7 linked regions of the Callithrix jacchus genome follow. The protein of the gene in region 7 binds, or shares a complex with, the protein of the main gene of each other region. Links are inferred from orthologs where the notes say so. Each region holds a gene or a part of one and is shown on either strand. Other genes may lie near its edges.

Region 1 (4,200 bases), on a different chromosome or scaffold from region 7:
GTTTACAAGGAAAAGGGGAGGATTACCTAAGTTGTTTGGAAACAATTACCCTTGGCTATAAAGATCAATAACAAAGGGGATGCCGGTCCAAGATTGGGCAGCAGTAGCTGTGCACATGTCCTTAAAGCACTTTTTGTGTAGTTTTGTGGCCTTTGTGCAAGGTTGTGGTTTTGGCAGTTTTTTGTGTTAATTCTTGATATCAGGCTATTATTAGTGAGAACCTTCCCTTCGTGGCTTTCCTTGACTCCATTTTGTAACAGCTTTCACAATGCAGATAGCCGCAGAGGTTTTTTTTTTTTTTTTTTAAACGCTGAACTCTATCCGGGGAGTCTGAGCGAGGGTCCTGATGAATGAAGACAATTTAGCTGAAAGACGCAGTTGCCTCTTGGCAGATTCGGACAAGGAGTGCAGTGGAGGCTGACGCCTGCACGGGGCAGGACTGAGGAACAGGGCCCGTCTGGCCTCAGCTGCGAGAACGAAGCTGGGTCAGCAGGGCTCGAAGGCCTGGCACCGTCGGTGGGGACCTCTCGGACCGGAGCAAGGAGCCAGGCTGGGCTGGGCGTGGTGACGGTGGTTGTCAATGCGACATCCTAGAAATCATCCCTTTGTCTTCCCGAAGTTCTGTTGCTGGGGCGTAGGCAACAACAATGAATGGAAAGGAAGCGGGATTGTACTTTGAATCTGAGCGCATCCTCCACCTTCCAGAACAAGCATCTGCAGGCGCAGGTGAGGGAGGCCGTGATGGCAGCTGCGGACTGGCCAAGCTCGGCTCCTCACGTGAGGTCCCAGGGGAGCCCAGACGCAGCCGAGATCATACACCGGCTCCGCGTTCTCCCGGGGGTACCTGCCAAGCCGGCCTCAGGCCCCTCCCCGGCTCCCCGCCACCCGCGTCCTCGGCGGAGGCATCAACCACGCGGGAACGCAGGCACGCGGGCCGAATCTCGGCGACTTTTTCCCGCCGTGCCTTCCCCACGCTCCTCGGCGGGCGCCTTCGGCCCCCCGGGGCAACTGCGGATGCCCCGGGAAGCGCGGCCGGGACAGGTGGCTCCGCGGCTGTCTTCCGGCGCGCCAGCGAGAGGGGCGGCCCGAGAACAAAGGCGGGCGAGGGGCGGCGACTGCGAGCGCGCAAAGGCAGAGGCCGGGCAGTCCCCGGGCGGCTTCCGGGGCACGGCGACCCCCGGCAGGGAGGGGGCGGGGCGGGGACCCCCAAGAGGGGCGGGGCGAGGCAAGGCAAGCGCAGCGGGGCGCGGAGAGAGGGAGGGAGAGAGGGTGACGCGCGTAGGGGCCGGGCCGGGCTGGGGGCCGCGGGGAGGGGGCGGCTGCCAGTGCGCCAAGTGGAGACGAGCCGGGCCGGGGCGGGCCGGAGGGCGGGCGGGAGGTGGGGCGCGCCGCGGGCTGGTGGGAGCCGCGGCCGAGTACGACGCCGGGCCGTGGGGAGCCGGGCGGCGGCGGGGCTGAGGCAACTGCGGGTCTGAGGGGAGCAGCGGGGCTGAGGCGGCGGCGGAGGTGAAGGGAGCCGCGGCGGCAGTGAGGCCAGCGGCGGAGCTGTGGGGGGCGGCGGCCGGGCGGGTCGGGCTGACGTGAGGAGCGCCGCCGCCGCCGGGCGTCCTCCATTCCGGCCCACATCCACGCGCCCTCCCAGCCTCCGGCGCCCTCCCGCGCGGGCGGCGCGCTGGCGGCGGCCATGGCGGTGGCGGCGGCGCCGCTGGCGGGCCGCGGGGCGCGCGGCGGCAGGGGCCGGCCCCCGGGCGGGCGGGCGGAGGGGGCGGGGCCGGGGCGGCGGGGGGCCCGCGCGGTGGCGGCGGCAGCGGCGGCGGCGGCCGGGACGAGGCGGAGGCGACGGCGGCGGCGGCGGCGCGGGGCGCTCGGGCTGATGGCGGCGGCGGCGGCCGGGCCCGGGGCGGCACTGTCTCCGCGGCCGTGCGAAAGCGACCCGGCCACTCCCGGAGCGCAGTCCCCGAAGGTGAGGAAGCGGCCTGCGCGACCCGACCCCAACTCTGACCCTCTCCGGGGCCGGGGCTCCGCGGTCTCGGCCCAGTCCCACCGGCGGCCGGCCGGCGTCTCGGGGGCGTGGGCCGCAGGCTGTGCGCTGCCCCTGAGACCCGCGGTGGTCGGCGAGGCGGGGCCCGGAGAGGAGCCCCCGGCCCCAAGCGAGCAACAAGTGCGGGCGGGCGGGCGGGCGGTGCGGCCTCCCTGAAGTTGGCGGCCGGCCGCGTTTGACGAGACTGTCCCCAGACGCCTGTTCCCTGGCCAGCTGCGGGACGGAACGCGCCCGGGGCGGGGAGACGCGGCCTCGCAGGGGCCTGCATTCCGGGCATAGTTTGCCGGAGTGTTTGAAAGCTCACTGCAGAACACGCTGGCGAACGAGGCGGAAAATGCACACGGTGAACTCGGTGCGGGTCAGCGCGTACGCAGGCGTCCGGATGTTTTCAGCGGAAGTCTGCTTCTAAGCTTCGTACTGCTGGGAGGCGACAAGAACTCGGCGATTGTGGCGAGAAGGAGATGACAGTGGCTTGTCACACATCCAAACGTTTCGGTTCTAAGTTAGGCCAGCGGCTAAGGGAGGACAGAAGGTTGGAAGGAGGAGTGATGTTTTAAAAACCGCAACGCTTGAAATCGGCAAGCTGAAAGGAGAAGGCGGTGTAGTGTGCGCGCTGGCGGGGACCCGTCCTGGGGCAGCCTGGCGGGGCTGCGCCTGCCCGGGGCTCCTCCCTCCGCGCACGTCCATCCTGCTGTCAGAGAGACTCCCGCCCATGGAAGTAACTAGAGTAAGGCTGAACGCACGTTCCCGCACTGCCAGCATCGGACGTCTGGCCCGGCACCTGGAGGGCACCGAGGCACTGAGCCAGGGCCCCCTGAGTGCACCTTAGGAAGGATGTGATGCATAGAAACTCATCTAACCTGTGGGTGGAAACCACTTGGAACTCTGGAAGGCACAGCTTTGAGCCTTTGTAAACATGGGCTTCTGTACCGGGATTGCGGTTGCAAATTCTTACCTTATTCCGTCAGGTATTGGGAGCAATATTGCTGTGACTACCTACCTCTAGAAGAAGGCCCGCTGCGCACATGCTCACTTTATATAATAATGCCTTTGCCTAGAATTTATGGTAGCAATTTAAAACACTGTGTATAAAATTGTGCTCTCAGCTTTTTTGAGCACTTCACATTTTTCAGTTTCTTTTTATTTTTGTATATATTTCAGTGTCTCCGTTTTTTAGCTAAAGGGAAATATGCTGATGTTTAAGGATATAAAAATCCTTAAAATTTTCACAAAAAAGATAAAAAATGGAATGCTTAAAATGAGTTATGTTGCAAGTACTGAATATGAAATGTTGCAGTTGTGATACATGCAAATTTTCAGAGTAGATTTAGGCTACGCAGAGGTCTTTCATGAAATGCTTATTTTATAAGGTCTGAAAAAGAATACATATCTTTGGAAAAGAACCAGTAAATTTCTAGGAGCTAGAGACATTTGAGACTTGATTATCATAATCATCATTTTAACTAATATTATGACATAATTATTTGCTAGTTCTTGTTGTAAGTGCTTTTAATATAGTAGCTCATTTAATCATTGAATTAGCTGTGTAATAGGGGCAATATTATAGTCTCAAATTTTCAGATTGGAAAGTACTCACAGAAAGTAACCCCAGCTAGTGAGTGCATTGAGGATCCAGGCTGTCCAGGTTTGGCATGCCTTGGCACTATGCCATATTGCCACTTTATATTCTTTTGCAGGGTTGCTTTCATTTTAATATGCAGCAAGAGGACCCTGGTATTTAGTAAAATTGGATTCGAGTTAAAAGCAATATTACATTTTTACAAAGTATCCTTTTTAGACCTTAAGCCTTGGCTAATATGTAAATACATCAATTTCCTAACGTCTGATACTTTTACTGAGTGAGATGGTTGAATTTATAACCTTGATATTCTTGCCACATAATGGATTGCAGTTAAAATCTATAAGCTTCTTAAAAAAAAAAAATCCCCTCCCTCTCTCAACCCTCTTCTTGGTTTGTGTGTTGCTGTATTATAGATTGATGGCCCTTATTAGGGTATATTTTTGCTAAATTATAGCAATGTAAGAAGAAAAGTGAATAGTTAGAATTGATAATCTGTTTTCAGTCTTGTATGTCCTCTTTTCACAGGGGCATAAATGCCTAAAGTAGTCAAAATTGTCCTATAAACTGGCGCCTAGTT
Region 2 (3,500 bases), on a different chromosome or scaffold from region 7:
GCTGTCCCACAGAGTCATATATTTGGCAGAGTACAGAACATACCAGCTTGTACTTCTACAGTTTCACAGGGTCAACAGTTAATCACCACATCACCTCAACCTGTGCAAACTTCATCTCAACAGACATCAACTGGTAGCCAGTCACAAGATACTGTTATCATAGCACCCCCACAGTACGTAACAACTCCTGCATCCAATATTGTCTCAGCAACTTCAGTACAGAATTTTCAGGTAACTACAGGACAAATGGTTACCATTGCTGGTGTCCCAAGTCCACAACCCTCAAGGGTAGGCTTTCAGAACATTGCACCAAAACCTCTCCCTTCTCAGCAAATTTCATCAACAGTAGTACAGCAGCCTATTCAACAACCACAGCAGCCAACCCAACAAAGTGTAGTAATTGTAAGCCAGCCAGCTCAACAAGGTCAGACTTATGCACCAGCCATTCACCAAATTGTTCTTGCTAATCCAGCAGCTCTTCCAACTGGTCAGACAGTTCAGCTAACTGGACAACCTAGCATAACTCCATCATCTTCACCATCACCTGTCCCAGCTACTAATAACCAAGTCCCTACTGCCATGTCGTCTTCTTCCACCTCTCAATCACAGGGACCACCCCCTACTGTCAGTCAAATGTTATCTGTGAAAAGACAGCAACAGCAGCAGCATTCACCAGCACCCCCACCACAGCAGGTACAAGTACAAGTTCAGCAGCCCCAACAAGTACAGATGCAAGTTCAACCTCAGCAGTCAAATGCAGGAGTTGGTCAGCCTGCTTCTGGTGAGTCGAGTCTGATTAAACAGCTTCTGCTTCCAAAACGTGGTCCTTCAACACCAGGTGGTAAGCTTATTCTTCCAGCTCCACAGATTCCTCCCCCTAATAATGCAAGAGCGCCTAGCCCTCAGGTGGTCTATCAGGTGGCCAGTAACCAAGCCACAGGTTTTGGAGTGCAGGGGCAAACTCCAGCTCAGCAGCTATTGGTTGGGCAGCAAAATGTTCAGTTGGTCCAAAGTGCAATGCCATCCACAGGGGGAGTACAAACTGTGCCCATTTCGAACTTACAAATATTGCCAGGCCCACTGATCTCAAATAGCCCAGCAACCATTTTCCAAGGGACTTCTGGCAACCAGGTAACCATAACAGTTGTGCCAAATACAAGTTTTGCAACTGCAACCGTGAGTCAGGGAAATGCAACTCAGCTCATTGCTCCAGCAGGCATTACCATGAGCGGAACGCAACCAGGAGTTGGACTTCCAGTGCAAACACTTCCAGCCACTCAAGCATCTCCTGCTGGACAATCATCCTGTACTACTGCTACTCCCCCATTCAAAGGTGATAAAATAATTTGCCAAAAGGAGGAGGAAGCAAAGGAAGCAACAGGTTTACATGTTCACGAACGTAAAATTGAAGTCATGGAGAACCCGTCCTGCCGACGAGGAACCACAAACACCAGCAATGGGGATACAAAGGAAAATGAAATGCAGTTGGGAAGTCTTTTAAATGGGAGAAAGTACAGTGACTCAAGTCTACCTCCTTCAAACTCAGGGAAGATTCAAAGTGAGACTAATCAGTGCTCACTAATCAGTAATGGGCCGTCAGTGGAATTAGGTGAGAATGGAGCATCTGGAAAACAGAACTCAGAACAAATAGACATGCAGGATATCAAAAGTGATTTGAAAAAACCGCTAGTTAATGGAATCTGTGATTTTGATAAAGGAGATGGTTCTCATTTAAGCAAAAACATTCCAAATCACAAAACTTCCAATCATGTAGGAAATGGTGAGATATCTCCAGTGGAACCTCAAGGGACTTTAGACGTCACTCAGCAAGATACTGCCAAAGGTGATCAACTGGAAAGAATTCCTAATGGACCTGTATTAACTTTGGGTGGTTCATCATCTGTGAGCAGTATACAGGAGGCTTCAAATATGGCAACACAACAATTTAGTGGTACTGATTTTCCTAATGGACCTCTAGCTTCCTGTTTGAATTCAGATGTGCCTCAGCAACGCCCAAGTGTAGTTGTCTCACCACATTCTACAACCTCTGTTATACAGGGACATCAAATCTTAGCAGTTCCCGACTCAGGATCAAAAGTGTCCCCTTCTCCTGCCCTTTCATCTGATGTTCGGTCTACAAATGGCACAGCAGAATGCAAAACTGTAAAGAGGCCAGCAGAGGATAATGATAGGGAAACAGTCACAGGAATTCCAAATAAAGTAGGAGTTAGAATTGTTACAATCAGTGACCCCAACAATGCTGGCTGTAGTGCAACAATGGTTGCTGTGCCAGCTGGAGCAGATCCAAGCACTGTAGCTAAAGTAGCAATAGAAAGTGCTGTTCAGCAAAAGCAACAGCATCCACCAACATACGTACAGAATATGGTCCCACAGGTAAGTTATTCTATGATCGTATTTCTCTTATAAAATTTCTGATCTGTAAATAAGGTTTTAGAGGGAAATGCACTGTTTTTCATGTCTCACCTTGAAAAGTTACTCTATCAGCTCACTTGTATCCAAACTGTCCTGTTCTTTTTCTCTGGTGATATAATACTAGTTTTCAATTTTAGTACATGATTTAAAGAATCTTTCAATTTTGTTATAGATTCAAACTAATAATTTTGTAGGCTCAAGGTAGAGAAGCAGTTGCTAATCTAACATCTTTTGGAGAATTTAAAAAATGTATCTTAATCTCTTTCTTGAGTATAATGCCCAGGGGTTGGGGGAATGGAGGTTCTAAGAGTAAGTACTCTAAATGGGGATTTCTGTATTTGATTTTGACCTGAATGTGTTTTAGTGGCCCCTTTAATAGTACTTTTTGTAATAAGGATGAATCTTGTAATAACTTTATCAGTCGTATTCTTTTTGTATTTATGTATTGAATTAGCCTCCTTTAGTGTTAAAAAAGTATTTATTGTAATTTCTGTTTGTTTCAGGTATTCTGATACTTTTTTCTGTTTCTTACTCCTTTGCTTTACTGTCATATTCCTGCTATTCTCTTTTTAATGCCTAATATTCCATCTCTGCATGCCTTAGTAAATACAAGTATTTTCTAAAATCAGCACTACTAAATTGAGGGTCCAATCAGGCTATAAAGATTTTGATGACAATCTTACATGTTCTTTCGACTGAACTCATGGATTCTCTTAACAGTTGTCACCACCTATTTCCTGGATCAGTTTCACTCTGTTTTGTTTTTTTTTTTTTTTTCATTCCTGCATAGCCAGAACCTTCTGTGACTACTGCCAACTCTGCTAGCCCAGTTCTGGCTTGAGTTTCTTCTGTATGCTTACGGTGATGACAGCAGATAGATGGCCATTGTTGGCATTAGTACCAAACCTAGGTGTGGGCAGCAGCCAAATGGAAAGTACAAGAACAAAAGGAAGAGCCCTTTGCTTCAGAACAGTTATTGCTCTTGCAGTTGCTGATGGATATTACTAATATGCATCTTTCTTCATGTGAATGAATAAAGTTGCCTTCTTGAAGTTCAAAAAAAAAAA
Region 3 (3,926 bases), about 4.9 Mb from region 7:
TATGTGGAAATTAACATGCTGAACAAGTTTACAGACTCATCACCAAATCACTGCTCTTTCTCACAGCCACACTTCTGATGCCCAAGAGCTGCCATGATCAGTCTATCCAATGCCATTTCCTGAAACCAAATCATATTAACCCAGACTTTCCCTTTGCAAATGAATAGGGCAAATGAATCAGTTTAGCAATGTGTTTGGTATAGCTCTCCCAACTACTACACTTACCTTTTTTTGGATTTTATACCGCTTATGGCAGGTCATGCGTTTACTGGCTTTCTTTAACTCTACAAAAAAAATAAATAATCACATCACAAATGTGTTAATGCAAATGATTAGTTCTGGGTGAACGCACTATGGAGTTATACCCTTTTTTAATGTTATTGGCTGCCAAAGCTAACGTTAAGACTAATGCGAAATGCCTAATACAGACATACATGCCCACTCTCAAATCCTAGAGAATCTGATTCAGTAGATCCAGAATGGAGTCCAAGTTCTCTGCACTTACTGTTACAATATTAGAATGGGATCATACACAGCAGCGTATGAGATCCAAAATGACAGCCACTTCGTGTAAAACAGCACGAATTCAAGAGAGGAACAGAGAGTCTGGGAGGCGATGTGTGCACCTGGCCCGGTATGCACGTGACCAGGGAAGGAAAAATATTGGGCCTGAAACCTAGCTTAAACGCTGCTTCCTTCCGAAAATCTAGCCTAGTCTTGCCCACCCTCCGCCAGGCTTCCTTCTGCAGAATGAGCCCACGCCTAGGATCGGCGTAGGGCCTTCCAAATCGGTTCTACGAGAAAACAGGGCCAAGGCCTACGCGCAGGCTCCCACCTCCATGCCCGCAGAGACCAAGCCGTAAAAGAGTGTCGTAGTGGCTGCAGCAACTACCAGACATGGGTCCCTCCACGCCCGCCTTTTGATCCCACTTACTAGGCCGCTTCATGTTGGTTGTAGAAAGTGGCGCAAGGACAACAACTTGCCTCCGCTGGCGCCACGTGTGAACTGAGGCCACCGACGAGGGTCACGTACGTACGTTCCCGCCGTAAAGTGCGTCACCGCCTCTCTGCGTGCGCGCGCACGCAGTGTCGCGCGGAGCAGGGATCACTTGGCGGCGGCGGGGCTGATTTTGCGGCGGCACCGGGAGGGGTAAGGGAGGTGAGGGCGGCGGGTGCCGGAGCGACGGCAGCGGCCACGGCCGGAGGAGCTATAGCAGCAGCCGTGGCGGCCACGGGGCGGGGCGCGGCGGTCAGTGACCGCGGCCGGGGCTGCAGGCGGCGGAGCGGCTGGGTAAGGCCGGGCCCTGGGCGGGTGGGGCCGCTCCCCCTCGCCCAGCTGCCGGGCCTTTGTGTGGGCCCGGGCGGGCGGGAGCCGCGGCGGAGGCCCCGCCCCGGCCGTGGGGAGACGCGCCGGTCGGGCCGGGCGCGCGGGGTTGGGCGGGGCGTGGCGGCGGACCTCGGGACGGGCACGGTAGCCCTGTCGCACCTGCCGGCAGGGACAAAGGCGTACTACGGCCCGGAAACTCCCCGCGCCACTCTTTCCCGCTCGTCGCGGGGCAGCTTCAAAGCTGTCAACGTTTCCCTCAGTCCCCAATACCAGTGACAGGTCGGGAAAGTCCTTCATTTCCTCGGTTGCTCAGGGCCTGCTTTTTTGTTATTGTTTCTTGACGGTTCGACACAAACTCTTAGTGATTTTCTTTCTTTATTTTTTCCGGGTATTTTGATCAATGGGACTTGTATTTATAAGTAGAGGCCAGATATTTCAGCTTCTCATCTCAACACTGCAAAGAATCCGGGATTTTGGGAACTGTATTTCTTGGTTTGGGGAAGCACAGTTTTGTTATAATAAGGGAGAAGTTTTAATTTAAAGGGGCAGAAAGAGTTGCAAAAACAGAGAAAAAAAATCTGGAAAAATAAGTACACGGTATAATGGATATAGAAATTCTTACAATTATAGAAGCGTGTGTTGGAGCAAAACATTTTAACTTAATTTCCGACACACTAGGACGCTCGACAAATAATTTCAGGGTTTTTTTTTTCCTCCCATTTGGCTATGTGCTTTTCCTCAAAAAGTGCAAATAGGACTCGTGCACGTGAAAGAGTAGCGTAATTTTTGCTTTATTACTTACAGGTTGCCCATATTTAATTTTGAGCTTCAAAATGGAAGATTGGAAAAATATGTTTTGAAGAGTTGTTTCAGATTAAAACAATAAAGAGCTTGTGTGTGGATGAATGGAAGGGGCTTGACCGCTTTCTTTGGCTTTGGGAATGTACAAAATACCTCAAATGTTAATATCCTACCAAAATTCCCAAGATAAGTACATTGTGGTATAGCTATATAATAGATTAGTATCAAGCTATCAAACATCATTAGGAAGAATGTTGACTTGGAAGAATCTTCATTAAGTTAAAACACAGGCTGTAGAATAATACATTTGGTTTGTTAGCATTTCGGTAAAATAATAACAGGTAACTAAGGCATAGATAAATACCAAAAATTGTGAATGACAACATTAAGAATGGTTTTTTTTTCTCTGAAACAGGTTTATAGTTGTTTTTTTTTTTCTTTGAGTCCTGTTTTCCAAGATTTTGTTTTAAGCATGTATTGTAGTGCTAAATATTTCTAGAAATACAGGAAAGGGCTAAAAGTTCATAAACTGTCAAAATACACCATTTGTCTATAATGTCAGTAGTCTCCCAGTTGCACATTATTAAGTATTCTTAACTGTCCACTATCAGTTATTGATTGTCAGATTTTTGAACTTGTGACTATAATCAAGGCTGTTTTAAAACTTGGAATTGAACTCTGAAATCTGTCTTTCCTCTTCATGGAAAAACAGACAAATTTGCTAAAGCGATACTTATAGTACTTTTTTTTTTTTTGGAGGTAGGATCTCACTTTGTTGCCCAGGCTAGAATGCAAGTAAAGTGATCATGGCTCACAGAAGCCTTATATACTCCTAGACTCAAGCAGTCCTCCCACGATGGCATCCCAAGTAGCTAGGATTACAGATGTGCAGCACCACACCCAGCTAATTTTTATTTTTGTAGAAACAAGGTCAATCTGTATTGTCCAATCTGGTCTTGAACTCTGCCTTAAGTGATCCTTCTGCTTCAGCCTCCCCAAGTGCTGGGATTACAGATATGAGCCCCTGTGCCTGACTCAGGCCTTTTAAACTATACAAACAAACTTCTTTTTTTAAAGGTCCCACTTAAGTGCACCTTTTTTTTTTTTGAGACAGAGTCTCACTCTGTCCCCCAGGCTGGAGTGCAGTGGTGTGATCCTTGCTCACTGCAACCTCTGCCTCCTGGGTTCAAGCAATTCTTGCACCTCACGCTCTCAAGTATCTGGGATTAATGGGCATGCACTACCTCGCCTGGCTAATTTTTTGTATTTTTAGTAGAGACGGGGGTCTCACGGTGTTGGTCAGGCTGGTCTTGAACTCCTGACCTCAGGTAATCTGCCGGCCTCGGCCTAAGTTGCTGGGATTACAGGCGTGAGCCACTGTGCCTGGTCCTAAGTGCACTTTTAACACATTAATTAAAAGATAAATTGAGCACCTAATCTATACTAAATACTATTCTATAAGACAGGGCTATAAAAATGAACAAGATGCTGCTCCTGTGCCTGGGGAACATGCAGAAGTGATTTCATGGACATCATTTCACTGTTCCAACGATCTGAGAGATACAGGAACACTTGATATTCTTTTTGTTTGAATCCGTCTCTCGCTCTGTCACTCAGACTGGACTGCAGTGGTATGATCTCGGCTCACTGCAACCTCCGCCTCCTGGGTTCAAGCGATTCTTGTGCCTTAGCCTCCTGAGTAGCTGTGTTTACAGGCATGTACCACCACACCCAGCTAATTTTTTTTTTTTTTTTTTTTTGTAGAGACAGGGTTTCACCATGTTGGCCAGGCTGGTCT
Region 4 (3,500 bases), on a different chromosome or scaffold from region 7:
AAACAATGACCAAGCCAGTAGCAATGACCACCACCAGACTGTGGTCTCTGAGTAACATTTCCTACAGAAAGAAGCCAGAATTTCTTCAAGAAATAGCTGATTTCAGGCCTGGAGAGCCAGAAGTGTACAAGATGAGCCTGATATATTTTATCCTAATAGTAGGGTGGCAAAAAGGCTATCAGAAACTACTGGGGTTGTTTCAAATCACCAGCACTGGCCAGAATCCTGAAGGACCAAAGATGAGGCAAGGTACGCATCCTAAGAGTAATAGCTACACTGGATTAAAATACATCAAATATGTTTACATCTGTGAGTTTCTGGTGGTATTCAAAAAAATAATTACTATTACATTGATCATCTTTGGAGAATGCTAGAGAACCAACTCATTATTTTGAAAACTGGTAAACAGAGGGGAAAAAAGTCATTTATCCTGCCTTTCATATGTGAACTGTATCTCGCAATAACTAAAACTTTAATGAGGGAATGTTTTTCTTTATAGAAGTTGCAGAGCTAACAAATGAAGATATAATGATAGTCCTGGATTGGATATTAACTTTTTGCAACACTTAATGGGATAAAAAATCTAGGCAATTATCATGAAGGGCTAACATCAGTAAAAGGTAACCAGACTGTATGAGCCTCCTGATGAAAGTACACACTACCACTTAGGAGTTGTTCTTGCCCAAAAAAAAAAAAAAACCTTGAACCTGAGTAAGTCTCCAGACCTAACTACCAATTCATAGGAATAACACTGTGGGGATGCAACCACCAAATCCTTCTGGGAAACCCCACAGGGTAAGCAACCCAGCATCTTCAACAGGTAACACGCAAGAAGGAAAGAGAGAGTCACAGGCAGAGACAGAGAGAAACCCAGAGATGTTAAAAGACACATCAGTCACTTGCAATGTAGGGCTTCCATTTGGATCCTGATTTAAACTACAGGGGGAAACATGAATGTTGACCAAATATTTGATGATATCAAAGTCTTATTGCTAATTCTTTGAGCTGTGATAGTGATTGTGGGTTGATTTGTTTGTTTAAGTTCTTTACCATTTAGAGATACACAACAAAATATTTACGGATAAAATCATGTGCTTTCGTGGATTTGCTTCCAAATAATCTGAGGTCAGGGAGGAAAGTGAGAAGTGCGTATAAATGAAACACGATTGACCTTGAGTTGATCACTGTTGAAGCAGGGTTACATGGAAATTTGTTTGACTGTTGTCTTCAGTTTCATATAAATGTGAAATTTTTCCAAATAAAACGTTTTAAAAAATAGAGTCAGACAGAGCCAAAAAGTCACATTCCTGTAGCCATCTCCCTAATAAGAAGGTCTTTATTCTGTTCTTTGGGGCCTAGAAGACTAGTGTCCTGTAGTCGTAGTAATAACAGTAATAATAATAATAGCCAGCAATTTGGAAGCTCATACTTAGCATGTGCTAAACTCATGTTATGAGTTTTTATCAAACTTCCCATTTATTTCAGACAAAATCTTATGTGGTAAGTACTATTATTCACATTTTACAGATGAAGAACCTGAGGGACAGAAATTTGATGACAAAGCTAGGCCTCACACTCAGATCTAACAGCAGATTTCCAGCTTGTAACCAACACCCAAAGGTAAAAGATGAAGATTGCTGTCATGTCCTCGGTCTGGCCTTCTTTGGGATAAACACCTTTAGCTCTTTCACTTCCCACCCTACCCCACCCCTGCCACATGGCTTCAATGACTCACACGCATTCCTTGGAACACCTGCCATGAGTATAAAAGTAGCTGAGTTTCTTTAAGGTATCTCAGAGGCCCATGTGCAGCTTGCCCCGCCCCGATCCCACCCAGGCTGCCTGGATTCCCAGACAAGCTCTGGTCTTCCTCCCTCCAGAGCAGGAGTGGCATAGCTCACCTGGGCCTCGGTGCCTCTTCTCCATCCAGATGTAGCAGTTGTTCTGGGCCACCCCAGTCTGTGAGTCCAGGAAGGGAAGGCGCACGCTGCGCTCTGCACACAGCCGGGAGTTGTAACTCCGGCAGTGCTCAATGGCTTCCTTGTAGAACTGGTCCCCGAGCCTGCCAGAGTCAGAGAGTGAAGGAGTGAGGCCAGGGAAAACTGAAACACACCCAGAGGGAAACTGATGTCAAACACCCACCTCCCTGGGAAGACTGAAGATCTCCCAGTTATGAAGACCAAGGCAATGAGCACCAAGAGCCTTGTGAACGAGCAGAATGCAACTCAGTGTCAGGTCTTGACCAGGTTTTATTTTCTATCCCAAATCCGCCAAGCAACTTGGAAACTCCTTTAATAAAGAGCATGGGCTTTCAAGAATGAATCACCAGTAAGAGAGAACGGTCCATGTTCTCAAAGGCATAGGTCCCACTCCAGAGGGGAGGTAGCTCGGGAACAACCTTATGTACAGAATCTAGAGGGCATCGTGCTTCTAGAACCTCCTCACTCCTACTGGCTACGTTTTGTTCTCAGAAGTCACCAGCTAAGGCACTCTAGGTGAACCCAAACCACCAGCAAAGATACCCAGTTTTCCATTACAACGGAAGAGAAACACTCCATATAAACAAAAACTAGAAGGACAGAGGAAACATTCTATAAAAGTAGGGCTATTGCAGGAGGAAGGAGGCATAGAGGAACAGGCACCAATCTTTTAAAACTGTATTACTTAAAGAAAAATAATTTTCTGAGAAAAAACTAACGGAATTCAACAATTTCGAATTCAAAATAATTCAACTCACGGAGTTTAAAACACAAATAGAAAGACCTTTCTGGTTTGCTGGACTGAGAATCTGGTTAAGCACAGTAAATTTTACATTCCTGACTCTGGTTTTTGGACACGTGGTGATGGTACTGATTTTAAGGTAGTGTCCTTTTCAAAGACCAAAAATAGAGCACGATATAATTGATCAAATGCAAAGCACTAAAATAATCAATGAGATCAAATGCCTAACAAATAAAATATAGGCACAGACTAATAAATGCCTCAAGGAAATACACATAACATAACCTATGCCAGGTAAATTTAAGCCTCTTCCTGGGGTCGGGCGGCAGGGGCACAAAGGAGTGCACGGTGGGAAGAATAAGTAGAAAGGGAAGGAACCACAGAGGTCATAGGGCAAAAGGGAGAATCAAGGGTTTATTCTGAAGCAATATTGTGATGTCTTTCTGTTTTCATTCTATGTAGATTTCAAATTGGATTATAACAGCTTAAAATGAGAGGGAAAGTCTCTAAAAATAACATTTCTTAACCCAAGTATTTGGAAGAATTTTTAAAAAGCAAAATTGGGATTTTGTTTCAATGTCTTAATTGTGGTAAAATACACATAACATGAAGTTTCCCATGAAGCACATGCAGACAACAGTGCTTCCAACCACCACTACATCCACTTCCAGAATTCTTTCATTTTGCAAAACTGAAACTCTACCCGTTAGACGACAACTCCCCATTCCTACTCTGCTCCCATCTCTGGCAACTACTATTCTGCTTTCTATTTTTTTTTT
Region 5 (3,500 bases), on a different chromosome or scaffold from region 7:
GGACGTACATCATCCAGGAGCTTCCCCTCTACCCGCAGCTCCCAGGAGGCAATGCTGCCATCGGAATCCTCAGCATCAGGCTTCGCAGGGTTAAAAGTGTTGGAGATATAAAGACGCAGCTTCCGCTTTTGCTGTAGAAATAGAGTGTAGAACCAAGTGAATGCTGTGTGCTCCCACCCTGACCACCTTGCTTCCCCATCCTGGGCACGAGACTGAGTCCCCCTCCTACCCCCAAACTAAGGCACCTTCATGGGCCTCTTGAGAGCCTCCTGGATGTCCACCCGCTTCCTCATGATGGTTTGATCCAGTTTCCTCTCAAACGCTAAGAGGTCCATGTAAGCCTGGGACTCGGGGACCAGCTCCCGAATCTGGAGAAGGAAGAACAGGGCAGAAGTCAGAGGCTTCAGTCCAGGGTTGTACCATGGAATGTATGCATGTTGTGTGATCCTAGGGTACAAAAGATGTGGAGGGGAGCCATCCTACTTCTGGGCATGGAGCTTTCACAGTGGGAACAGGACCTCTCTCCTCAGAATGCCATTATCTAGCAGTAGGGCCCTCTCTGTGTAGGGAAAACAATTGCTTCTCCCTTTAGGAAGAGCCATGCGTTTCATCATCAGAAGAGGAGATAGTAACTGTGGAGCCCAGCAAGCACTAGTCTTTAGTCTCCTCATCTTATCATTTTCCACGTCATACACCTACTGGGCTTCCCCTGGGCCCTGCAAAGTGCATAGTAAGGGCTCGGTCCCTGAGACAAGTTGGACAGTGGTGTTTGCTTCGCTGCTGGCACCTCGTTCAGTCCCTGCACCTGTCCCAACTGTGCTGTCCTCATACCTAGCTGGACCTGGGTCCCTTTAGGATGCCCAGGATCTCTGGCCACCTTCTATCACCTTCATTCTGCCTGGCAGCCTCTGATCCCCTAGCCCTTGTCCCCTCCTGGGCCTACACCTTTAGGTCTTAGTGTCCAATCCCCTGACCCTCAGCCCTGTGTTCTGGCCCCAGTGGCTCTGCTGCTTCCCTGCACCCCACTCCCTCCCTCTGGCCTGGGGAGCCTCACTTATTAATGAGCTTTTTTAAACAAAAAGTGAAAGTGACTGTAACGCTGAAGCTCTGCTTCTGAGGGGGGAGGGGAGGCAGCTTGGGTTGGGGGAGAGGAGGGCGGAGCAGCAAAGGGTTGGGGGTGGGCTGGGGCTGCTGTGAAAGGCACTCACCCTTTGAGGGAGGATTTTGTCAGCCATCTTCCTCCTCTTGGCACTGTACATTTTTTAAAGAAAAAAACAGGTTACCATGGCGACAGATCTGGGAGTAACGAGGCCACCTGCTAAATTATCCCGACATCTCTGCCTGCCTGGCTGGGGTTCCCACAGCCGGCTTGTCTGCCTGCCCAAGGGCTATGACGGTTGTGTGTGGAACTGGTGCTCTGTCCTCTCTCAGGACATAGGGGTGTCCCATCCAATATTCTCTGGCCTGGGAGCCCCTTCCACCCCGCCACATCCTTAGGGACAGAAAAATTTAGACTTAGGAGGGACTGGTGGGTGGGGGCGGTGCTTCCAAAGATGGGAGCTGCAGAAGTGTTGGAGGAAAGGTGGGGATCAGGGAGGACAAAGGAGAGGGAAGCCAGGTTCTCAGGACCTTTTCTGCAAAGCAGGAGGGGGTGCCCTGTCCAAAGGGGTCTAAGCTCAGAGGGGAGAGAGATGACCTCCTTCCTATCCATGGAGCAGGAGGTGATGGTGTGAAGCTGGTGGGACTTGCATCCCAGCCAGCCGCCCTGGGCTTGGAAGAGAGAACGATGATGGGCAGGGGGTGCTCATGTCTGTGGCCTACCTACCAACAGGGTGAGGGACACACTGCAGCCATAGGGGCCCAGAAGTGCATGGATGCTCTCCTGTGTGGGTATGACTTCAGGCTGGGGCAAAATTGACTAGGCCTGTGGTAGTAGCAGCTGGATGTGGGCTCTTTCTGACCCATTGTTGCTTCTGACTCCCCCAAAAAACCTTGGCGGGTCAAGAGATGAAAACGCAGCCTAGAGAATAGCTTCATACTGCCCCCGTGTGGTATTTTCAACCACTGCCCCCTCCCTATGCAGAAATCGAAGGCTAACAAGCAGATTTCATTAAAGGTCCGATTTGTTTTAAACAGATTATGTGTAACTCTCCATTTATACAAGATAAATCAGGGAATTACCATTTTCTGTACAGATGACGATGCGCTTTGCAAAATAATTCATCATGGGATTCCTATAAGTGTGAATTTTCCCTGATGTGTAAAAAATACTTAATAATGAGATAAAATTGATATTACACCTTTTATGGAAATCCATCTGTTGTGCAAAAAAAGCATGTGTATTTGGCTAAATACTGAGACCCAGAGGAGCACTGCTGTTGCCAGGAGCCATCAGGGGCTTTGAGGGTGTCACCAGGTGCTGGAGGAAAGAAAGAAATGGACTGGCCCTGGTGACTTGGGAGTAGACCTGGTCCAGAGTGCCTAAGAATTAAGAGCGGGACTGGGCATAGACCATCTACCCACCGGGCAAATCCCCAAGCTCCACCCCCATGGCCAGAGAGTCCCATTGAGAAAATCTGGAGTGGCTTTGAAACAGCCCAAGGGGGGCTGGCAGGAAGGCTCAGCGGAGAACCACACTTCGGGCAACACAGTCTTACAGCTCTGCCCTCAGTCCCATTGGAAGCCCCGCCCCACCCCAAAGACTGAAGCATCACCCAGAACCTGACGGGTGAAGAGAGGGTCTGAGCAGGTGACAAGGAGAAGGGTGAGGGGAGCGTGCAGGGAAGCGGTACTAGCTGCGGAGGGTCGCAGCCTGTCTCTACTGGGGGCACACAAAAGAATCAGGCCGGTGCCCCCTAAGCCCACCTCCCCAGAGGGCATCCCACCCAGGAAGCCTCGCTCACTGCTAATCATTCTTCCTCGCCCCTTCCAATCCCCGTTACTCGCCCACCTGGTCCCTGCGGGTCCCCAGGGCCCGCCTCTGCACGCCCCCTCCGCGCCGGGCCCCCCACTCACCTGCGGCTCCGCGCGGGGGCGGTGGGCACCGGCTGGCCCTGGCTCTGTGCCTGGCTCTGCCCGGGCGGGGGCGCTGCTCGCTTGCGGGCGGGCTCCATGCCCGCGGGGGCCAGGCCGGGTCGCACGGCGGGGCTGCCCATGTACGGGGAGCCCGGGGGGCCCATGGGCGCCCCCTGGTGGGGCATCCGGGCTCCAGACGGCATCCCGGGGCGCTGGGGGTGGGGCGGGGGTGAAGCAGAAACGGGCGCCCGAGAGTCAGACCAGGGCCCGCGCTCCAGGCGCGGTGAGCCGGCGTCTCCCCTCCCCCCCAGACCCTCGGCTGGTGACCCTGAGCGCTGAGCGATGGGTGGGAACGATGGGTAGGAGGGGCAGGGGCGCCGGAATCCGCGCGGCTCTGGCGGAGGGGCTTGGCGTCTGGCTGCAGTAAGCTAACTGAAGCCAGGCAGCGCACAGGGCATTGCGAGCCTCGGGGCTGCGGAAGGTAC
Region 6 (3,500 bases), on a different chromosome or scaffold from region 7:
GAGAGTTCCCTTCATGGCATCATAGGAAATAACAAAAAGGAAATTTGCTCCCAGGGGAGGTTTAATAATTGAGATGGCACTGGCAACAGTGCTATGTTCCACCTCCTCACACTCAGAGAGGAATTTGGCAGTGTCAGAAATGATGTGTTTTCAATATTACTATGGGAATGTGTTTGTACATTTGGGATCCTTTTTAAAAAATTCGTATTGTGTCTTTTGCATATGTATTTCAAGATTCATTGGAGACGCCTGATAACGAGATGCACTGCTTTTGTTTGTTACCGGAGAAATGGAGCTAGGGAAAGGGGTAGTAATTTTTTCCAAGTGGAAGACCTAATTAGTAGTAGACCCAATAGAAAAATCAAAGGCCTCTGATTCCTTATTATTTTGTAAGCTAAATTAGGCAGGAAAGTAGATTTAGAAGATTTGTATATGTTTTGTCTGCTTGCCTCTTTTCATGCTATTGGTAAGTTTGAGGTAGTTGATTGTACAGCTTTAATTATCCTTAAACACTTTTCTTAGAGGTTGTGGAGGAAGGAAAAAAAAATGGGGTAGTTTTTTTTTTTTAAACCTGTACATCCCAGCCTGACTGATTTTATACCTTTTCCCCTGGCATATCTGCTGCTTCTAATGAGGAAGACAAGGACTGTATAGAATACTTTCCTCATCTCACTTCTCTCTCTAGGAGCTTTGCAGCAGGATCTGGGGACATCTGAGCACCAGATGTTTTTCTTGGCCATTGCCACTGTTTTGTAGAGAATGGATAGGCTTAGTGGAACATTCCTCATTGTTCTCACCTTAAAAAACTGACTCTTAAGAGGACTGAAGGGTAAGTTATGAGAGAGGAAGGGAACTGTGTAGACGGGAAGGAGGACTGGGCCATGTAAGCTTTCTAGATGTTTTAAGCGATAGTCACGTTGGGGAAGTTTGCTGTATTTAATTCTGCAGTTTTGGCATAAATAGAGGAATTATATTTTTGTATTGCCCTTTCTGCCAGTGAATAGATCCTTTTATTTTAGATAAAACAGGGGTCCTAGATCTGACAGGTAAGGAATGTGCATGGATTGAGGGAGTTTGGTTGTCAGAACTAATTTTTGAAAAGCTGTATGTATAGATTTTATGTGAAATAGTCCAACTTTTAAATGTTAGCAACCAGTCCAAACAAAACAAAACACACTTCTGAGCCAAGCCCTAAAGGTAGTAACCAGCCAGGCTAATAGAAAAGAAGGCATGGAGCCAAGAATATCTCAGTTATAGAACCTGCTAGGGCCATCTTGGAAAAATCGGTCATTAACTTCTGCTTCAAGTGGGTACCTGTATTCTGTGCCTGTTGTGAGCAGAGGTAGCATGACCATGAAATGTGGGATAGCTGTCATGATACAGTATTAATAGAAGGGGCGTTGGATGAGGAGATGCACAATCCACATGTAGGAACAAGCATATCATCCTGGGCCCAAATTTCCTTCTTTGTAAGAAGTTGATTTGGAATTACATGGTCGGTAAGGAACATTGTTGCTTCAACACTGTTATTACAGGATGTCTTATGTGGCCTATCAGGCATGGGACATTGTTGAGATTCTCTTGTCTTAAAGATAATCATAGCATATCATGTACCAAGGATGGGTTCTTTGGTTTTCCACACCACCACTTGCCTGTGGGAAATAGTTGTTATTTTCCCTTGCTTATCACATGTCCATCCTTTCTCTTGTGTTACAGATTCGGTGGAAATACATGATAGTGGATGAAGGCCACCGAATGAAGAATCACCACTGCAAGCTGACTCAGGTCTTGAACACTCACTACGTGGCCCCCAGAAGGATCCTCTTGACTGGGACCCCGCTGCAGAATAAACTCCCTGAACTCTGGGCCCTCCTCAACTTCCTCCTCCCCACAATTTTTAAGAGCTGCAGCACTTTCGAACAATGGTTTAATGCTCCATTTGCCATGACTGGTGAAAGGGTACTGGTCTGACTTTTGTTTTTTCCACTATTTTCCACTACATGACAATGAAATGAAATGAAAGGCCCTAAAGCTGAGAACATTACAGCCACAGAACACCTGCAGGGTGGTTGACAGTGTTGCATAGTTTATGAAACCCATCAATGGGTGGACGTGGTCTTCTGTCAGGGTTATTTTCCCCTCCTGGGAAAATGGGTCTAGTGGTACTGGGGGCATCTAACCCCTTTGTCTTTTGCCAGCATGTTTACCAGGCTACCAGAAAAGGGTCCTGACCGGTGGAATGCTTAACTGCAGTGGGTCACAGGGAGGGATGAACATGGAGATATTTTGCTGAATTAATTTAAGCAGACCAAATTAACCAACTAAATACAAGCTTTAAAACAAATCTTTCCTTGTTATAAGCTTGGAAGTTCCCTTTAAAATATTTCCACATAAAGAGTTTGTGTGTAAAACAGAACTAGTTTTCACTAATTTTCTGCAGACCTTTTTTCTATTTCTTTTTTTTAGGTTTTAGTGTGAGTTTCAGTTTTGTGTGTAAATAAAAAGTCTTCCTGGAGTAGCCATTTGTTTTCAAATTTCTTACCGTTCCTTCCACTGTCTTAAGAGCTCATTTGTGAAAGCAAGACATGGGCCATTGCAAGAAAAGAAATGGGCACATGTCATTTTCATAGAGGTTCCTCATTCGTAGGAATGAAAGGCCACTAAAAATGCTTTAGCAAAATTTTGGTTTGAATTGTTTGGCCCTTTAATTTTGAGGCACCTGGGCCCCCTGTCAATAGTTAACTCACTGGCTTGCCAATTTGTAGAAAGTAGTCTCAATCAACTCTGCCCCCTAGAGGTTAGTAGGAGAAGGTGAAAGAGAAAGCTGGGAAATCTATAAAAAGGACTAAAGTTGAACTAGAGAGGGCTGAGAAAAGGAAAGGAGTGAAGTTAGAGGGACTTACAGGGCCACCAACATAAACTGGATAGACTCTACTTTTGATCCTCTTCTTTATATGTTCAAACCTCTGTTCCTTTAGTATTTTTCTGTGACTGAAACAACCAAGATGAAGAGCCTAATTTAAGGCTGCCCCTTTAAATCGGAAACATATCAACTTATTGCCCCCCTTCTCTCATTCTGTCACCTTCATCATCAGTGATACCACATACAATGTGGGGCTGTTGACACCACTGATAGAAAACTGGTAGCTTCTGGGCTCTTTTCCACAGAACTCAGCATTAAGACAAAGACACCTATTTAGAGGTAATTTTATTACTGCTTGGTAGGCAGGTGGAAAGGTAATTCAGAGGTGGGTATAACAGACATAAACCTGGATTTAATGCATGTAAAATTTCAATCATGTATTGAAACACATAAATGTAACATAAAGCTTTATGGTATGAAATGTCCTTTTTTTTTTTATCCTTTTCTTAAAAAAATCAAATTTATATAAGCCTCTCTTATAGGTGGACTTAAATGAAGAAGAAACTATATTGATCATCAGACGTCTGCATAAGGTATTAAGACCATTTTTACTAAGGAGACTGAAGAAAGAAGTTGA
Region 7 (3,500 bases):
ATGTCCAGCCTGTACTGTATCACATCTTTGCACTCTCCTCTCTTTATCCTAGCCCCTCCCTACTTCAATTCAATTTCTTTCGCTCTTGGTACCTAGGTTTCCACATATATACTAATTTGTCTCTGAGTTCACTAACCTATCTTTTGCTATATGCAGCCTGTTATTAAACCCATCAAATAATTTCAAGTATACTTTTCAGTTCTAAAATATTCATGACTCTTTTTTTTTTTGAGACAGAGTCTCACTCTGTTACCAGGCTGGAGTGCAGTGGTGCAAACCTCTGACTCCCTGGTTCAAGCTATTCTCCTGCCTCAGCCTCCCAAGTAGCTGGGATTATAGGCATGTGCACCATGCCCAGTTCCTTTTTGTATTTTTATTAGAGACAGGGTTTCACCGTGTTGGCCAGGATGGTCTCTATCTCCTGAACTCATGATCCGACCACCTCGGCTTCTCAAAGTGCTGCAGTTACAGGCATGAACCACCACCCCCGACCTCATGATTCTTTTCACAGATTCCAATTATCTGTTCAAATTTTCCATTCCCCCCCTCGATTTTCTCTAATAGTGTTTTTTTAAATATCACCAGATTTGAGTAGAAAACTCATTAGATGTATCATAGAAGTACTAAGACGTGCTGGATTATACCCTGCATGAGTTTAGATTAAAAACAAAATCCTTACCTTTGCTAATGTTTTCTTGGAGTAAATGTCAGTACGAAGGCCAAAGTTCTGCAAATCAATTGGTTTTTCCTTGCTTTTCTCAGGAAAATTTAGCATCTGTTGAGCAGCAGGGACCTGAGTCAAATAAATGATAAATGGCTGAGTTAACCTCTTTAAAGTCAAGAGGATAAATGTTTTTCAAAAACTGGGCCATACGCAGTGGTTCATGCCTGTAATCCCAGCACTTTGGGAGGCTGAGACAGGTGGGTCACAAGGTCAGCAGACCGGCATGACCAACATGGTGAAACCCTGTCTCTACTAAAAATACAAAAAATTAGCTGGGCACCGTGGCGCGTGCCTGTAATCCCAGCTACTCAGGAGGCTGAGGCAGGAGAATTGCCTGAACCCAGGAGGCGGAGGTTGCAGTGAGCCGAGATCGCGCCATTGCACTCCAGCCTGGGTAATGAGCGAAACTCCGCCTCAAAAAAAAAAAAAAATTGCTGGGGCTGGACACGGTGGCTCATGCTTGTAATCTCAGCACTTTGGGAGCCTAAGGCAGGTAAATCACGAGGTCAGGAGTTCCAGACCAGCCAGACTAACATGGTAAACCCTGTTTCTACTAAAAATACAAAAATTAGCAGGGAATGCAATCCCAGCTACTCAGGAAGTAGAGGCAGGAGAACTACTTGAACCTGGGAGACAGTAGTTGCAGTTAGCCAAGACTGCGCCACTGCACTCCAGCTTGGGTGAGAGAACAACACCAGCTCAAAAAAAAAAAAACTGTTTAATATTGGCACTTAAACCACTCTTGGTGGATCTCCTACAAAAAAATAAATACCCACACTTCTACACTATACTTCTAACAAAAATTCAACACTTAAGACACATTTTCGCGTCCATTTAAGTCCCAAAAAGGATAAAAAATTTTCATTACTATCTTCTATTTCACCATAGGACAAAATTCTTATACCTTAGGTTCCTGTAAATACAACTTAATGCTAAATACAATTTCCTTGACATAATCTGTTTGATAATGTATATATGAATATAAACTTTATAAATCTTAGGACAAGTTATAAAGATTTCTTTGCCTCACATTTTTAGAACAAAGACTGAAGGAAGAAAAAAAACATTTTGCATCATCTGCTTACTTATGAGTATCTGATGACAGAAGGATAAAGGAAGTTATGTATATAAAAGTAAATTAATAATTTGATAGAGTAAGGCAGTGGGTCTTGGGATTGGTGGGACAGCATTAACTTAAATAGCATATATTATTTTGGACTGTAATATTTACAGTACACCAAAACACACACACACAACCAACCATAAAAGAAATAGCACTATTAATAGCCATTATAATACAATAACAATTATTCCTAAATAGATATGCTGTAAATAGTCAGGTGTTACTATCCAGTTCTGAAGAAAAAGTCGACATTAATTTACCTGAGGTGATCGAAGATGCAGAGGCACAAGCCCAGAGGGTGTATCAGCTAATACATTAAAATGAGGAGTAGGAGGCGGTCCCATTGCCATGGGTCTACTTTCCGGGTCAACTTGGTAATTAACAAGTCCCCACTGCTCTAAAAAGGCATGGACCCTAAAGAAAAAAGCTCGAAAAGTTAAAATCTACAGAATCAACTTCAGGTGCTTTATCATCATCATCATCATCATCATCATCATGATGTTATTAAAAAACAGAAACAATAAAAGAAGTAAATATTCTCAGCAGGCTATGAAACACCACAAACTACCTGACAGATTTTGAGGAAGAATTTCTTAAGTCACAAGTAACGTTGATAACACAGCACCCCCTAAACCTATTACAAAATCTAATCATTTCAACCACAGAAATGAGAGCACAAATACATATTTAGGTCCATTTTAATAAATGAAATCACACACAGACCAAATATACACACCAAAAAAATCCACATTTTGTTTTTTTGTCTTTAGGCAGATCTAGGGCACAGAGCTTATCCACTCTCGACCTGAACCCACTCCATCCCTGCTTATTTTATGATTTGACAAAAAATTAAAAATATGAATTATAAAATCTAAAAAACTGAATTAAATATTTATTTATTCTGAGAGAGTCTCGATCTGTCACCCAGGCTGGATGACACTGCAATCTCTGTCTCCTGGGTTCTCCTGCCTCTTGAGTAGCTGAGATATAGTCATGTGCCACCACACCCAGCTAATTTCTGTACTTTTAATAGAGACGGGGTTTCACTATGTTGGCCAGGCTTGAACTCCTGTCCTCAGGTGATCCACACGCCTCAGATTCTCAAAGTGCTGGGATTACAGGCATGAGCCACCGCACCCAGCCTAAATTAAGTATTTTAAATATTCAACTCCTAATCCTGAATCCAGGGCTCACACCTGCAATCACAGTGCTTCGGGAGGTCAAGGTAGGAGAATCACTTAAGGCCAGGAGATTGAAAACAGCCTTGGCAACACTGTGAAACCCCATCATGATAACATTAAATTAAAATAATAAAATAAAAATAATTTAATTGAATGAAATAAAAAGAAACAAAATATAATCAACCCCTAAATGAGATAACTAAAATTAGGTGTTTTACCCAGTTGAAATATCCAGTTTAATCAAGCAAACATTCGATAGCAATGCATCAGTAAATTCCTACAGTGAAATGTCTCAGAAAAAGTCAAATGCTTTACCTCATTACAGCACATACATCTCCAGTTAAGTTCCTCCGACAAGCAGTGCTGGTTAAGTACTCTTGGGGGTTTAGGCGATACGTGTCAATCATAAAATTTCGATATGCCAAGTATCTAAAAATCAATGGCAAAATTCATAAGGTGGATATGTATTCTT

The links.
Region 1: SMARCC1 (region 7) and PHF10 share a complex: the UniProt entries of both Homo sapiens proteins name them as parts of the neural progenitors-specific chromatin remodeling complex. The link is inferred for Callithrix jacchus from reciprocal best matches to the Homo sapiens genes SMARCC1 and PHF10.
Region 2: SMARCC1 (region 7) and ARID2 share a complex: the UniProt entries of both Homo sapiens proteins name them as parts of the SWI/SNF-B (PBAF) chromatin remodeling complex. The link is inferred for Callithrix jacchus from reciprocal best matches to the Homo sapiens genes SMARCC1 and ARID2.
Region 3: SMARCC1 (region 7) and PBRM1 share a complex: the UniProt entries of both Homo sapiens proteins name them as parts of the SWI/SNF-B (PBAF) chromatin remodeling complex. The link is inferred for Callithrix jacchus from reciprocal best matches to the Homo sapiens genes SMARCC1 and PBRM1.
Region 4: SMARCC1 (region 7) and DPF3 share a complex: the UniProt entries of both Homo sapiens proteins name them as parts of the BAF complex. The link is inferred for Callithrix jacchus from reciprocal best matches to the Homo sapiens genes SMARCC1 and DPF3.
Region 5: SMARCC1 (region 7) and SMARCD3 share a complex: the UniProt entries of both Homo sapiens proteins name them as parts of the BAF complex. The link is inferred for Callithrix jacchus from reciprocal best matches to the Homo sapiens genes SMARCC1 and SMARCD3.
Region 6: SMARCC1 (region 7) and SMARCA2 share a complex: the UniProt entries of both Homo sapiens proteins name them as parts of the BAF complex. The link is inferred for Callithrix jacchus from reciprocal best matches to the Homo sapiens genes SMARCC1 and SMARCA2.

The regions. Positions count from the first base shown.
Region 1 is NC_133505.1:176,378,851-176,383,050, reverse strand, and holds the start of PHF10 (PHD finger protein 10), read left to right. Parts: upstream 1-1,400; 5' UTR 1,401-1,684; coding exon 1,685-1,963; intron 1,964-2,442; exon of another isoform or gene 2,443-3,009; intron 3,010-4,200. UniProt on the Homo sapiens protein: Involved in transcription activity regulation by chromatin remodeling. Belongs to the neural progenitors-specific chromatin remodeling complex (npBAF complex) and is required for the proliferation of neural progenitors.
Region 2 is NC_133510.1:29,508,525-29,512,024, reverse strand, and holds part of ARID2 (AT-rich interactive domain-containing protein 2), read left to right. Parts: coding exon 1-2,394; intron 2,395-3,223; coding exon of another isoform or gene 3,224-3,274; exon of another isoform or gene 3,275-3,489; intron 3,490-3,500. UniProt on the Homo sapiens protein: Involved in transcriptional activation and repression of select genes by chromatin remodeling (alteration of DNA-nucleosome topology). Required for the stability of the SWI/SNF chromatin remodeling complex SWI/SNF-B (PBAF).
Region 3 is NC_133516.1:35,227,355-35,231,280, reverse strand, and holds the start of PBRM1 (protein polybromo-1), read left to right. Parts: upstream 1-1,126; 5' UTR 1,127-1,291; intron 1,292-1,431; exon of another isoform or gene 1,432-1,606; intron 1,607-3,926. Other genes in the region: GNL3 (guanine nucleotide-binding protein-like 3), read right to left, coding at 226-284, 935-947. UniProt on the Homo sapiens protein: Involved in transcriptional activation and repression of select genes by chromatin remodeling (alteration of DNA-nucleosome topology). Required for the stability of the SWI/SNF chromatin remodeling complex SWI/SNF-B (PBAF).
Region 4 is NC_133509.1:107,683,174-107,686,673, forward strand, and holds part of DPF3 (zinc finger protein DPF3), read right to left. Parts: intron 2,063-3,500; coding exon 1,902-2,062; intron 1-1,901. UniProt on the Homo sapiens protein: Belongs to the neuron-specific chromatin remodeling complex (nBAF complex).
Region 5 is NC_133512.1:96,968,451-96,971,950, reverse strand, and holds part of SMARCD3 (SWI/SNF-related matrix-associated actin-dependent regulator of chromatin subfamily D member 3), read right to left. Parts: intron 3,228-3,500; coding exon 3,016-3,227; intron 1,252-3,015; coding exon 1,209-1,251; intron 369-1,208; coding exon 246-368; intron 132-245; coding exon 9-131; intron 1-8. UniProt on the Homo sapiens protein: Involved in transcriptional activation and repression of select genes by chromatin remodeling (alteration of DNA-nucleosome topology).
Region 6 is NC_133502.1:108,563,011-108,566,510, forward strand, and holds part of SMARCA2 (SWI/SNF-related matrix-associated actin-dependent regulator of chromatin subfamily A member 2), read left to right. Parts: intron 1-1,716; coding exon 1,717-1,959; intron 1,960-3,405; coding exon 3,406-3,500. UniProt on the Homo sapiens protein: ATPase involved in transcriptional activation and repression of select genes by chromatin remodeling (alteration of DNA-nucleosome topology).
Region 7 is NC_133516.1:30,366,093-30,369,592, forward strand, and holds part of SMARCC1 (SWI/SNF complex subunit SMARCC1), read right to left. Parts: intron 3,458-3,500; coding exon 3,344-3,457; intron 2,262-3,343; coding exon 2,108-2,261; intron 794-2,107; coding exon 680-793; intron 1-679. UniProt on the Homo sapiens protein: Involved in transcriptional activation and repression of select genes by chromatin remodeling (alteration of DNA-nucleosome topology).